Diceros bicornis minor: one gene and its partner. The protein of the gene in region 2 purifies or fractionates together with the protein of the main gene of each other region. This does not show direct contact. Links are inferred from orthologs where the notes say so. Each region holds a gene or a part of one and is shown on either strand. Other genes may lie near its edges.

What was found. Proteins that work in one complex are often made in the same cells at the same time.
Region 1: the proteins of BAG2 (region 2) and LUZP1 purify together in Homo sapiens (affinity purification with mass spectrometry; 3 studies listed by BioGRID and IntAct, with this or other methods). This does not show direct contact. The link is inferred for Diceros bicornis minor from reciprocal best matches to the Homo sapiens genes BAG2 and LUZP1.

Annotation. Positions count from the first base shown.
Region 1 is NC_080752.1:39,714,488-39,722,009, reverse strand, and holds the start of LUZP1 (leucine zipper protein 1), read left to right. Parts: upstream 1-4,510; 5' UTR 4,511-4,583; intron 4,584-7,522.
Region 2 is NC_080753.1:10,219,860-10,226,905, forward strand, and holds the start of BAG2 (BAG family molecular chaperone regulator 2), read right to left. Parts: upstream 3,004-7,046; 5' UTR 2,934-3,003; coding exon 2,821-2,933; intron 1-2,820. UniProt on the Homo sapiens protein: Co-chaperone for HSP70 and HSC70 chaperone proteins. Acts as a nucleotide-exchange factor (NEF) promoting the release of ADP from the HSP70 and HSC70 proteins thereby triggering client/substrate protein release.

The DNA of each region.
Region 1 (7,522 bases), on a different chromosome or scaffold from region 2:
GCATCCCGCAAGCCCTCATAGCACGTGGCCTGATACTGCGTGGCACTTCATGCAATTGTTATGAAGTGATGAGTTGTATTTAATGTTGTCTTGTCTATCCTCCCCACCAGTCAAGCTCCAAGAAGGCATGGACCTTTGCTGTCTTACAGTCTGTGCAGTGCCTGGCACAGGTTAGGCTCTCGGCCATTTGTTATGAAATAAATAAAAAAGTGAAGGAATGGAGGGATGCATGCCAGGCGTTGCACTGGGGGCAGAAAGGGATCAGAAATGAATAAGCATCGTTCTGGTCCTTGAGGAGGCCCCAGGCCAGTGGGGGGGATGATGTGAGTTCAAGAAGGAAGGAAGGAAGGAAGACTGTCCTAAATGCCTTAATGAGGGATAAACATTAACGGGATGAACACTAATGAGAAAAGCACCAAGAGACCCAAAGATGAGTGAGACTCAGTCCCGGAAGAGCTGACATAATGACTTCCCTTTGTATTACCTATTACAATGTACGAAGCACTTAACTTACATAAAATATCCAGGTATGCTCTTATCCCTCAGAGGTGGGGAAACTGCTGCTAAGAAGAGCTCAGGGACTTGCCAGGGCCACCCAGGCAATCACGGCTGCCTGAGTTCGCAGCTCACTTGCTTCGGAATTCAGCCCACACCCTTAGGAAGTGGACTTTGATGCTGTGAAGGTCTTGGTTTAGATCCCACTAGATGTGAAACTTTGGGCAAATTCCTTTACCTCCTTGAACTTTGTTTTCCTAATCTGCAAGATAGGAATAATGACCCCATAACCTATATGAGATGGTATCAGAAAAGTGCCCAGGATGATATTTGGTTTATAGTAAAGAATCCGTAAGTGTTTCTTGATGGCTGAATGAACTATATTTATTGGTGAGTGGCCTGAAATGCGAGGGGACCTAAAATCATGCCATTTGGAGGATGGTAGGAGAAATTGAGGGCAATTTTTTCCCTTCCCACTCTCACTTTCTATGATTTCTGTGAGACTTAGCCCTGGCCTCAACCACGTTGTTATAATTTATTGTTTGCAAATCAACAAAAGTGAACCTACCCTAGCTCGGTTAGCTTTCTTTTTATGTATATCTTTATTGCCTTTTTTCTGATGACCAAGTAATATATCCTCCTTCTAAAGATATTAAATTGCAGAAAGATGTAATGAAGAAAAATGAAAGTGTGAGTTGAGGCACAGGAGGCACAGATGCTGACATAGTTGTTCTTTGAGAGGTGGGGGAGGGGCACAGGACAGGGAGCAAAAAAGAATTCTTCCTGCTTAAAAATCTCTTACTGGCCTTGCCATGGTTCCTGGGAGTTCTGTTAGGAATCTTGCCTTTGACTATAGCATTGAAAGTTCAAGTTAAAGGCTGGGGAGTGGGGAGAAGGGGAGAATTGTCCGCGCTGAGGCTTTCTCTGGAACGCCATGAAGAATGAGATGGGACCCGTGGAACTTTCTATGGCTGTATACGCAGTTGGTTCAGATGCCCACTGCTGGTGTGTCTTGTAGCTGTGTTTTCATCCCCTTTCTTCCTTCTGAGCGTTTAGTAGAGTCTTTTTTGAAAATTTTTGCTACACATACACACACACACACACACACACACACACACACACAGAGAAAAGCAAAGCAAAAAGAAAGAAAAAAAGGTGAAAGCCTTCTATTTAGTTCTCTATAGTCTCCATATTTTTTATGCATACACTAAGCATATATTATAAGTTATAACTATGGGATCTTATTACACCTGTAATTCTGCAACTTACACTTACCCGTTTCATCTCACAATCCCCAGTAGACACCTTTTCTTGCCTGTTCATGAAAATCTGCCCCTTTCTTTTTACCAGCTGAGATTCTTGAGCTCAGGACTATCATCCCTGCTTCTGGCCCAGAGGCCAGCACACAAGAGGCCTTACTGAGAGGACATGTTGAGATAGTAACAGCAGCCACCATATCCTGGCATGAACTGGGTGCCAGGCTCTGAACTGAGCTCTTTCACATGTTATTTCGTTTTTTTTTTTTTTTTTAAGATTTTATTTATTTATTTTTTCCCCCCAAAGCCCCAGTAGATAGTTATATGTCATAGCTGCACATCCTTCTAGTTGCTGTATGTGGGACTCGGCCTCAGGATGGACGGAGAAGTGGTGCCTCGGCGCGTGCCCGGGATCTGAACCCGGGCTACCAGCATCGGAGCGCGCGCACTTAACCACCAAGCCACGGGGCCGGCCCTCACATGTTATTTCATTTAATCCTCACAGCCACTGTAGGAGATAGGTTCTATTATTATTCCCGTTTTTCAGATGAGAAACTGAGGTGCAGAGACTTGAAAGCCCGAGGTCACACAGCTGGTAAGTGGTGGAGCTGAAATTTGAATCCTGATCTGTCCTGTGCCAAAGCTTTTGCTATGAATGAATGAATAAATGGTTGATGGGGTCCTGGGTCCTGGGGAGAAAGTTCTGTCTTCAGAACTTCCAGTGTCTGTCCTGGGTTCTCTCTTCCAAGGTTTGCAATGCTTGGAATCAGCATCAGCACATAGGAGGGACTCCAAGAAGGTCCCCTTTTTTTTCCTGCAGCAATCCTGTGGCCTTGCCTACTTTTCCTGGGAAGTGGCATTTTTGAATCTCCTACTCTAAAAATAAGCCACAATTTGGTAGGGGCCCCAGAGGACCAGCCCAGGCATTTCAGGACAGCCATTTGTCTGTCCGCAGCACAGGAAATTAATCAGAACCCCAAAGCCCTTTCCCTCTTCCCACAGGCTAGCACTCTGGAAACGCCCATGCTGCAGCTCTCCTAGAGGACTGCAGAGATGCCAAGGGCAATTTAAAACAGATCTGTCTCTCTGTAAGGAAAGCGAGAGGCAAAAGGCAGGAGGGAGAAACGGGTCAGCCCTGCTGCAAAGAGAACTCACAGCCGTCCCCAACTTGGAGGGGTGCCGAGTGACAGAGACACCCTGGGGCATCAGATGTGACTTTGCAGAATCCACCTGGGGTCTTGATACTGGAGTGTTGGTTCCTGTGCCAGTGGCAGTGCTCTGCAGGGCCACTGTCAGCGAGCCGTTTCCTCTCTCAGGACCTCAGAGTCTTCCACTATGAAATGATTGGGTGGATTATCACTAGGGGTGCTGGGTGGTGTTAGGAGCTAGAAATAATATTGATGATAATAATAATGATGAAAATCAGAATGACAACTACGTTGTTTGTGGAACACTGCCTGGTGCTTGTACACAGTGTTTTTTTGTAATATGAAAACAAACACTACAAGGACTATGTTAATATTCCCATTTTACAGATGAGGAGAAGGAGGCTCAGTTTGGGCCAGAACATGGGCCAGAACATGGGCATATGATTCCAGTGTTTTCTGGCATCGGAACCTGAGCTCCACAAACACTTGTGGGTTCTGACCTCAAGGAAATGAGGAAGTGCTAAGAAACAAACGAGAGGACAATTTGATACATCAAAATGTGTTCACGCCACATGAGAGTTAAACACAATGCCAGGGGTATTCAGAGCAGAGAGTCAGCTTCTGGCTGGGGGAAACTAGGAGGAGATGTAAGTTGAGATGAGACAGCAAGGGAAGAGCATGAGCAAAGGGGCAGACGTGGGAAAGCAGTGGGTGTGCTGGGGGAAGTTTGGATAAACTTTACTGTGTGTGTGTGTGTGGGTGTGTGTGGGTGTGTGTGTGTCTGTAAAGGTAGGAAGAGATTGGACCAGGCCCGGGCTTTGGCCTTTATTCCACAGGCAATGAGGAGCTTACACAAGAGATGTCTCAAGAGACGAGCTATGCTGCTGCAGTCAGAGAGGAAGCAGCCCTCAGCGCATCTGTGTCCTGGCTTGTGAATGCAGCTCTGTGCCAGAATGTGGGAGGGCATTTGCGGGGAGAGAGTGTCTCTGGCTGTGTCCTGTACCATGCTGGGTGTGGGTCTTGGGCTCCCTTCAAAGGCCTCCTCCCACTTCTCTGGGCCCTAGGTACTTTGTACATGGTAGGCCCACAGGAAGTATGTCATAGAATTATTGGAGAGACTTTTGAGGTCATCTAGTCTATTTAAAGAAGGTGAAAATGAGGAACGTAGATGGGAAAGGACTTGTCTAGGATCACACAATGAATTAACAGCAGAGCTGGAGACTGCAACCCATGCCTCCTGAGACCACGCCGAGTTCCTTTTCCGCATTTGCTGAGTAATAGAAATAGTATTTGTTGAGTGATTACTCCATACCAGGCCCTGGGCTAAACACCTTTACACGGATTATCTCATTTAATTCTCACGACCCCCCCCCCCCCCCCCGAGAGTGCCACTCGTGAAAGCAGGACGTCTTGTCGTCCATTGCGATTTCCCACCATGCCTAGTACAGGCCCTGGGCACCTAGCTGGGAAACTCCGCCGAGTCCAAGTCCTGGGAAGAGGGAACAGGACCGAGGGGCGGGGCCGCGGCCAGCCCCGCCCCGCCCGCAGGCCCCGCCCCCAGGCCGCTGACGTCACCAGCTGGCCCGCCCCTCATTGTCAGTCCGGGGGAGCCGGAGGAGGCGCCGGCCGCCGGGAGCGGAGCGCCGGAGCCCTCGCGGGTGGGAGCGCGGTCGGAGCCGCCGAGGTGAGGGGTCCGCGGGCAGGCGGCGGGAGCGCGGCGCGGGCCGGCGGGAGGAGAGGAGAGGAGGGCGGCCGGAGGGGGCGGCCCGCCCCGCCGAGGGGTCGGGGCACCGGGGGCGCCGGGGCAGAGCCGGCGGGCGCACCCGGGGAGGGCTGGGGGGTGTGGAGTTGAGGTGGGGGGAGAGTTTGAGCGGGGTGTTGGGGGCAGAGCTCGGAAGGGGAGATGTGGGGGCGCGAGACCTTGAGAGATGTTTTGGAGTTGGAGATTTTTCTTCTGGAGGGGGAGGGAAGGTTCGGAGAGACTTCTTGGTGGGAGCGAGAATCTGGGGAGAAGTGTTGGGGCAGGGAGCCGAGGGCCGTTTTCGGGGGGGCGGCGGAGAGTCCAGGGCCTGGGGGCCCGGGGGAGGGCGCGGGGCGCGGGCCCGGTGGGGGCGGGGAGAGGCGCGGCGGGCGGGGGGCCGGGGCGCCGGGGAGGGGGCTGCGCGGGGCCCGCGGGCACCCGGGGAGGAAGGAAGTGATCTTACAGGAAGAGCCCGGAGCTCCCGAGGAGGAGGAGGAGGAGGAGGAGGAGGAGGGAGGCTGGGAGCGCCCGGCCGGCGTGCGGGACGGGCTGCGGCCGGGGCTGCGGGCGCGGGCGGCCGGGGAGGGGTCCCGCCGCCGCAGCTGTCGGCCCGCGCGCCGGCCCGCGTCCCGGCCGCTGCTGGTCTCGCCGCCAGACCGCCGGGCCGGGAAGGAATTCGAGGCATTCGCTTTGTTTAAGTTGCCAGTAGACAGTCCTCAGGACTAATTAATGGTGGAATCTGCAGGGGGACGCGGGCGAGCCGGGCCGGGGGCCGCCCCCCGCCGGCGCGGCGAACTTTCCGCAGCGCGCGCCGCCCGCCTCCCCGCGCGCCCCCACCCCTGCCGGCCGGGAAGGAGCCATGGCTTCCCGAAGCGCAGGAATGAAGTGCGGTTTCTGGGGCCGGTGGCCTCTGGCTGCCGGGGCTGCCTGCAGGGCGCCCGGCGTCCCGGGGCGGCCGGGCTGGGGGTTCGGAGCCCGGTGGAGAGCCCTCTGAGGTGCCTGCGGTTTCTGGGAATAACCTTGGCGGAGGCTCTGCGAGCCGAGAGAGGCCAGCTCGCTTTGGAGCATCTGTTTCTTCATCGCGTCAGCCCCTTTGCTAACACTGCAGAGCTTGTTGCGGCTTGTTTCGGAAATGCCGAGACCAGTGCTCACCCTCGAGGGTGGGAGAGGGGAAGAGACTGGGCACCCCCAAACCCCTGCAGTGTGATCGCCAGAAAGCCAGAGACGGCTTGCAGATTCTCCGTCGCGCCTTCACTGGCTTGAATGACCTTGGGGAAAGAATTGTGCTTCTGAGCTCCTGGTGCCTTATCTGTCGATGGAGGAGAAAATGCTCTCTGGACCTCCCTGCCTTTTGGGGATGTTTTGAGAGGTGGGGTTTGTTCAGGGCCTTTTACAGACTGCTGCGGTTCTGGCCTAAGGAGCTAGACTGGTGTCAGAGCCTGGGAATTCAGATCATCCAGGAAGATTTTACGACCTCAGATTAGAGAGGAAGGGGTTTGGATTTTAGGAGACGATTTCCCCTTGGAGAATCCGTACAGTATGTTCCAGATTGCTTTCTGTCACTTTGTGGCATTGGTAACATTCGTGTGGTTAAACTGAATAACCCCCATAGAAAATTCTTCTCGTCAGAAATAATTATTTTGCTCAGAATTCCCCTTGGGGCAGATTAAGGTTTTGCTCAATTTACTCAGAAGAATTTTCCAGGTTTCTAAAATTAAATCACTTTTCTAAACATAGCAACTGAAGTTTGAAAAACTGGAAATGGGGGGATGGGAACGGAATTGATTAGAGTATGAACAAGGCAGCAGATACGGTTTCATTGTTGTCCTGTGATTACTAATAGGGATTATGAATTAGCCTTGATTAATAGGTATTTTCTTACTCTTAAATAATCTAAGACCAAGAAAGGGAACTAATATTGTTGAGTTGCCTACTCCGTGCCCAGGAATTGTGCTAAGTGGTATATATCTCGTATAGTCTTCACAAGAATGCTGTGAGGTGGTAGTTGGCATCCGTGTTTCACAGATGAGCAAACTGAGGGTCAGAAGGCAAAGTGACTTTCCCACGTTTAGTCACATGGCTCTCGTAAGAAGTGGAGCTGGAATTCAAACCCAAGTCTGTTTCTAAAGTCCGCGGTTATCTCGGCTAGGCACACTGCATTGGGAATCAGGAGGCCTAGTTTCTAAGCCTTGACTCAGCCACTGGGTCACTGTGGATCGTAGAATAAGTCCATTAAGTCTATTCCCCAGTAATGTTGCCTCCTTTTCTTCCAGCAATGTTGTCAGTATGCTTTTGAGATGTTCTCGGTTTTTGGAAGAAAGACAAACATATGAGGCTGAGGTAGTGATATGTCCTATATGGAGGTGCTTAATAATTTTTTTCTTATGATGGAAATGTTTGTGTTCAAATATAGCGTACCTGGGTGATCAGAGATTTCATTTATGTAATGGAGGATGATGGATAGCTAATGGTACTTCCACTGTAGAGGCCATCATTAAGGTGACATTCATGATCAGAAACTGAACCATTTTTCATGTAATATGGCTTTTGGAACAGTGTCAACTTAAGGATAAAGCACATTACATACGGGTAGGACTCAGATTGTCAGGGTTAAAAATTTGGTGTAAACACTGATGCACATAATAGATGCTCAGTAAATACTTGCTGAATGACTGGATACATGCATTCTTTTTTAAAAATCAGCTTTATTGAGGTATAATTTACATACAATAAAATTCACCAATTTTAAGTGTGCAGTTTGGTGAGCTTTGACAAATATATACAGTTGTGTAATCACCATGGCCACCTTCGTTTGTTTAAACTGCGTCTTATCTTTGAGGTATTGGTTAGTGGAATGATTCCTGGGAATGTTGTGAGGTTTC
Region 2 (7,046 bases):
TTTTAGGAGGAAGCAAAAAGGGAGATGGGTTGGAGTCAAAAAAGAAAGGCTAGTGTCGTCAAGTTTAGAAACAAATGGAATTTCTTTAACGATCTGTAGAATGCTGCCAAACATTTTAAAGCATTTTAAACATCAGGTACACCAGTTCACAGGCCAGGTCATAAAGCATTTAGCATAATTCTGTTTTCAGTTTCATATGGAAGAAGTTTTCACCACAGCTGACAAAACTAGTGTGGCTGGGGAGCAGTAAATGCAAGCCTCTAAGTGCCAACTGCACCGGCTGACTCTACCCCGTATGCGGCGTGATCAGCCGTCCGTAACATGAAGTTAAACTATTAGAGCAAAATTACAGACAAATATCATGTTTTCTTTTAAATACTGATGTTCTAGGCCTGACTCTAGTCTTGAACAGTGTAGCGCTCTGGACCACTGCCCCCGTGGTTTCAAACAGACTTGAATGGATCAGCATTAGCCTTTTCTCTATTTTTGCTTGCCTTCTGAAACACTTCCTTAGTTTCCAGTCAGTATTACTTTTTTTAAAGGAAGAAACAAAGCTTACAAAAGTCTAAAATTACTAGAAAAGTCCTTAAAATGACCAATTAGACACATATTGATCAGGCCTTCCTAATGTGGAAGACGACGTGAGTGGAGCCATATTAAAATGGAGGCAGAGCAGCCATTTCAGAGAAATTGCCTGGCACCGGTCTTGTTTTCTTCGTCTTCCAAACTGGACCACACCGCCAACATTGCAAGAAGTCAGTGTGGACCAGAATATCCCGTTTGTAGGGACTGATGAAACTGGACTTTGCCAATGACCGAATCACTAACCAATCAACGAAGCACAAGTCTAGCCTTCTGCCTGATGACCGAATCTCGAGCCAACCTCTGAAGTACAATCCTAGCCTTCCCTCATCCAGCATCAGTGAACTCTTCCTTAATACAACGCACCTGTCCTCCTCCCTTTTCCCATAAAAGCCCTGAGCCCCTCTCCTGTAATCAGGACACTATTTGGGTTTCTACCTGGACCCGTGCTACCAGAATTGCAATTCTTCGATCCCAAATAAATGCTTTGCCTCGTAAACTGGGTTTTGTTTTTGTAGGTTGATACTCCTCAGGTCAAGGGTTAGTTAAGCAAATTATAATTTAATCACTTGTACACAATAATCAGAATTCATTTTACATTAGTCGAACACTAGACTATAATAAATACTCAAAACCAGAGGCTTTCTTTTCAAGATGAGTGAGCACTTGACTGTTTTTGTACCTACCACATGTGAGAAATTAATCCAAGTTTGAGGACAATGACTCAGCTTGAAGGAAGGAGGGGCAACATCCTCCTCATTCCTTTAAGAAAAAAATCCTTTTTTTCTGCTGAGAGGAGAGAGACTCCTGAATTGGTGGAGAACATGCCCTCAAAGTTGTAAAGCCCTGGGGGAGACGTGCCCTGGGGGAGACGTGTGAGTTACCTCTTACGCTGCTACAGAAAGGGAAATATTATCAGAGGGAAGTTAAGCAGCTGAGGGCAGGACCTCTAGTTCTGCTCCTGCTTCTTCTGGGGGTGGAATGCAGCAGGCTCAACCACGGGGAAGCAATTCTCTGCTGCTGTTCCATGTGTCTCATTCTGAGCAGAACCCCAGAACGTGGTTTTGGCTCTGGTTTCTCTATCTGTTGCCATCCATGAAATCATTGTGGAGGGAGAATTTCTCATTTTCTGACTCTTTCCTCCGGGTAATGATAATAATAAATGCCTCATTTGCTGAGATATACTGTGGTTATTAATGCTCTTTCCTGGCAAATAGACACCTCTTCTTGTTCTGGTACACTAATTGAGGGGGATAAAGGCATATATGCATTGCTTTTTGAAATTGTTGGTTTACACACTCCTTTGCTCACCCAGAAGCCGGTAAAAACTATGGAAAAAAATTCTGTGCAGTTTCAGGGGATTGTGGGTGCCTTAATAAGATTTTCATTTAACAACACCTGCACACATTTACACAACTTTAGTGACAAATGTTTACAGAAAGTACATAAAAGTTTCCACACCCTGTAAAAGGAACAGTGTTTCCAAAATTTATCATACATTATTTAGAAATGCTATACAAGCCTACGACTATATTAATTACTTAATAAAATCTTAATGAGTTGGGGGGGGGACCTGTGACTATCTTGTGCTTTCAGGCCAGTGACTGGCACTTTCAAGAAGGTGGCGGCACAGAGTCTCCTGTGGACGGAGGCGCACAATCCACCGTGAGGCTAACGGAAGGGCTGGGCACCGCATGCGGGGTTAGGCGACACGGAAGCTGCAGGGTCTTCCTTCCACAAAGCACCCAGCTGCCGTCCCCCCGCAGCCCCTCGTTTGCCCTCCTCCTCTCTAATCCTTGCCATCAGATGGATTCCTGGATTTTTAATTTTTGCTCTTAAGTGTTCTGGAGCAAAGAAACGGATCATTCACATCAGGGACCACTAAGCTGCTGCCTCTCTTAAAAATGCCTAATAGGAAAAGAGTAAGTTAAAAACATCTGGGAAGACCATATACCGGCACACAGAAGGTTCTAGAAGTTCTGGAGACCTGGAGTGTCACAGTCCCTAATCCGAACCAACGTCACCAGAACTTGCATCTTCTGATTGTTCTCGGCCCCCAAACGCTCACGTCCTGCCCGAGAGCGTGGCCACAGGAACGCGCGCGCAGGTGTGGCTTAAACCGAGCGCGCTCTGAGCCGAGCCGCGCCGCGCAGAGCGCCCCGTCTCCACCGACAGCACGTGTCAAGCCGCCCAGCCGCCGGGACCCCCACGCCGGGCGCGGCCCGGGCCGCCGCTCACCTGAGCTCCAGCTGGTCCAGGCTCTCCAGCAGGCGGCTGGAGCGGTCGGCCATGGAGGAGGAGCGGCAGAAGCGCCCCTCGTTGGCTTTCGCGTTGATCTTCGCCTGAGCCATCTGAGCCTCCGAGGCGGGGCGGCCGAGAGGTCACCGGGCTCCCCGGCGGCGCGAGTGGCGAGCTCGGCGGCCGCAGGCGTCGCCGTCACCGCGCGGGGCGCCCGCCCCTCTGACGCCCGCGGGGGGCGGCCCGAGGACGCGCCGACTCCGCCGCCGCCGCGTGGCCAAACAAGGGCAGGCGCGCCGGCCGCGGGGCCGGGGCAGCTCGCCGGCCAGGGGGGCTCGGGGTGGGCCGCCAGGGCCCGGGGCCTGAGGAGCGAAGCCAGGGGGCCTCCGAGCCACCTGGCGGGACGGGCGCACAAAGGGGAGGACCCAGCGTGTCGCCGGATCCTTCTCTCCGGCCCTGGCACAACAAACCGATGCGGAGACCCACGGAACACCCCCCATCCCTGCCCCGTGAGGCCGCGGCCCTCTGATGCCACCAGCTCCCCCCGCGCGAAGGTGCCAACGCTAGGGTGGGTGTGTTACTCAGAGACGCCTTCCCACGGTTTCTCCCGGCACCAGTAATTCACAGCAGACAGAAACGTTCAAGTCCTGTGATGTGGGGAGAAGAGGTCCCTTTGTGGAACAGGTGGCATTTGAGGACCGCTCCTAGGCGGTCTAAACTCGCCTGACCTGTCCTGTTCGTCACATTCCTGAGATGAGAAGAATGAAACCTGGACACCACCCCACTGAAGCTTATAGAGGAAAAAAGGAAAAACTACCCCATCTTGCTCTATCTGGATGTAGTAGGAAGCAAGGTGAATTTCCCTTATTTCCACCTATTCTGCTGAAGGGATTTTTGACTTTTCCTATTAAGAAATTATTCCTGTTGGCATTTGAGTGAAATAATTGGTATTAAGGCCATTTCACACCCAATTTATTTAAATCTGTTAAGAATGAAAAGATGCAGTAGGCCACTAGGTCAGACACCATAAAGGTCAGCAGAAGTGGAAAACGGCTGGGAGTACAAAGATTATCTACTTAAAAACTTGTGCTTTGCTCCCATCTCATTATAACTACATGCCTCATACTGCGAGGATGAGCATGTACAAGGCACATAAAATGATACATAATAATGGTTTAAGGTGAATCACAACCTTTAATCTGAGATCCAAGTTATTTATATGCTTGAACAGAGATGAGGCCCTTAAGCCTGGATACTGATTCCCTCTGTGAAAGATGACATGAGTGGAGCCATATTAAAATAGAGCCAGAGCAGCCATTTCAGAGGAATTGCCTTGCAGTCTTGTTTTAGCTTCCAAACTGGACCAAACTGCCAACATTCCAAGAAGTCAGTAAGGACAAGAATATCGCGTTTGTAGGGACTGATGAAATTGGACTTTGCTGATGACCAAATGGCTAACCAATTATGAAGTACAAACCTAGCCTTACCTCATCTAGCACTAATAAATTGTTCCTTAATACAACTTACCTCATCTTCCTCCCTTTTCCCTATAAAACCCAAGTGCCTCTCCTGTAATCGGGACACTATTTGGGTTTCTACCTGGATCTGTGCTCCCTAAATTGCAATTCTAATTGCCCAAATAAATATCTGCTGTTTGAATTCAGTGAATTTTTCCTCTGTCAACAGCTCTGAACTCAATCTAAATACTAATAAACTATTGGTGTAGGGGATTATTTGACCTCATCAAACATATTTTGTCATATCACGAAGCAAACTCGGAATCCAAAGACATTTTGTCAATGGTTTGAAAGTCTATCAAGTAATTTTGGAATCATCCTGGACTCTCTGTCTCTCATATCCTAGATCCAATCCATAAGTAAATCCTGTCAGCTCTACCTTCAGACTACATCCAGATTCTTCTCTCCAATTCTAGTGCCACCACTCCGGTCCCAGCCCCCATCAATTCTCACCTGGCTTACTTCACTACCCTCCTATCTGGTCTTAATGCTTCTACTGTTGCCTCTCATGTATGTTCTCAGTACAGTGACTACAGTATCCTCCTAGATAAGGCAGATCACACGACTTATTCTCAGAAACCTTCAGACTCCTCATTTCAGAGTAAAAGCCAACCTAGGTCCTCAGAAAGTCCTCAAGGACTTCTCCTGTTAACCTCCTAATTCATCCTGCTCAGGCATACTAGCCTTCTTGCTTTTCCATGAACAGATCAAGCTCACTTCTAGACCTTTTCACCCTCTACCTGGAATTCTCTTCCCCATACATATTTGTATGGCTCACCCCTCACCTTCTTTAGGTCTTTGCTCAAGTTCACCTGGTCATCCTTTCTGACCACCGTATTAAAAATAGCACTATTTATCTTTCCCTTCCCTATTTTCCTTCATTACACTTATCACTATCAGATATACTTGCTTCTTTTCTATCATTCTATCTCCGCACGCACACACACCCCACTCCCCCGCCACGTGTATGCTCCATAGAGGAGTACGGGCCTGGTATATCTCAAGTGCTTACACAGTCGTTGGCACATGGTAAATAGTAAATACTTTGTGAGTGAATGAATAAATAAATGAATGAATGAAGTAACAAAAAGATAAGCACCTTTGTCAATGTTCAAAACATTTACTTTGATAATTTAATAATCCATATAACTTTCTGTAATATCCTCTGATTACCTCTCCCCCTTGTGTCTAAATTAAGTTCAAATTATGAAGTAATTTAAAAATGATTTTTAATTGCTTAACAAGTAGAAATACAATCAGTGACAATTATTAAGTAAAACAGTAAACAACCCAATTACGTTTTTTTAAAGGTCACGATGAAATATTCCTTTCCTGTCAAATGAAAAGCTTCAGTTACTCTCTACACTACAAAAGCTTAATAGAATGTCAGTGTACATCACACCTATGTGTGGCACCTCTGGCAAAGACGTGTTGTTTCCTCTTCCCTACATCTGCTTAAGCACTCTTCTTTCTGGAACGTCCTTTCTGCTCCTCACTGCTGAGGAAGCTTCTGCAGATGTCTTGAAGGTCTGGCTTAGTGACTACCTCCTAAAGCCTTGCTTGACCACTTTAACATACAAATTAAAGGTACAATGTGGTCATTTCGGAAAAATGACTGGTAAATTCTCAAAGCGTGAGGTCTACTTAAAAAAAATGCAAGCAGGTAGTACAGAACTGACATCTTAAGAAATAAAAACACAAAATGGTTTCTAATGTGAACTGAAAAAGACTATAGTAATAAAAAAACAGTAATGCTATTTCACACTAAAATATCTAGTTGCAGAGAAAACAAAATTCTAGCCATGATTTTTTTTGTCTTAAAGAAAAACTTATATTTATAGAAAATTTTAAGTTTGGTAAGTAATTACCACTCAAAATTTTAGGGATGACATTTCTGGTCAAATAACATGAAACATATACACAAAAATAGTTTGACAAGCCCTTCTTAGTCTTCTAATTATGTGATATTTTTTATTAGTCACAATGGGGGCCTCAACTTTTAAAAATTACATATGTAACACTAAATGTAGGAAACTGATAATTTAATGAATAACTAAAGTGAAGATACTTCCATATGAAATAAAAATTGTAAAGGGTTAAGGAAGATTACTCCTGAGTAGACTGTCTACATTATTTTTTGAAGAATATTACATTTACACAAATATATATAAAAAAGGACCAACATTATTAAAAATAAGTTTAACTCTATGCAAATATTTTCACGATTCTCTTTCAACAGTAGATAATACAAGTCACATAAAAGTCTAAGCAGGTAAAAGGAATGGAAAAGGTTTCTTTTTAATAATTTCAAAGAAGTTAGGGTTTTGTTGTTTTTTTTTTTTTATTCCAGCAATGTGCTGCTCTAATTAAAGCAGGACTATACATCTGAGTGAAATCCACCAAGAACTCTGCTGGTAAAATTTTTAATCTGTTTCATGATCAGTTTCCATTACTTTCTTCTAATCATCATAGACAAAGATCTCAGAAATATTATATATTATTAGTGCCACGATAAGTGGCATTGACAGAAAAACTGGGGTATGACAGCTTTATTTATATTCATTTTCACTCCTAAAAAAATAAAACAGAATCATCTGTACAGTACAAACAAAATTAAAGAACTACTGCCATTCGGGAAACATATAAACAATAGTCAAGAGCTTTTCTATTTTTTTTAAATTCTTTTAATCTAAATATACGAATTCAATG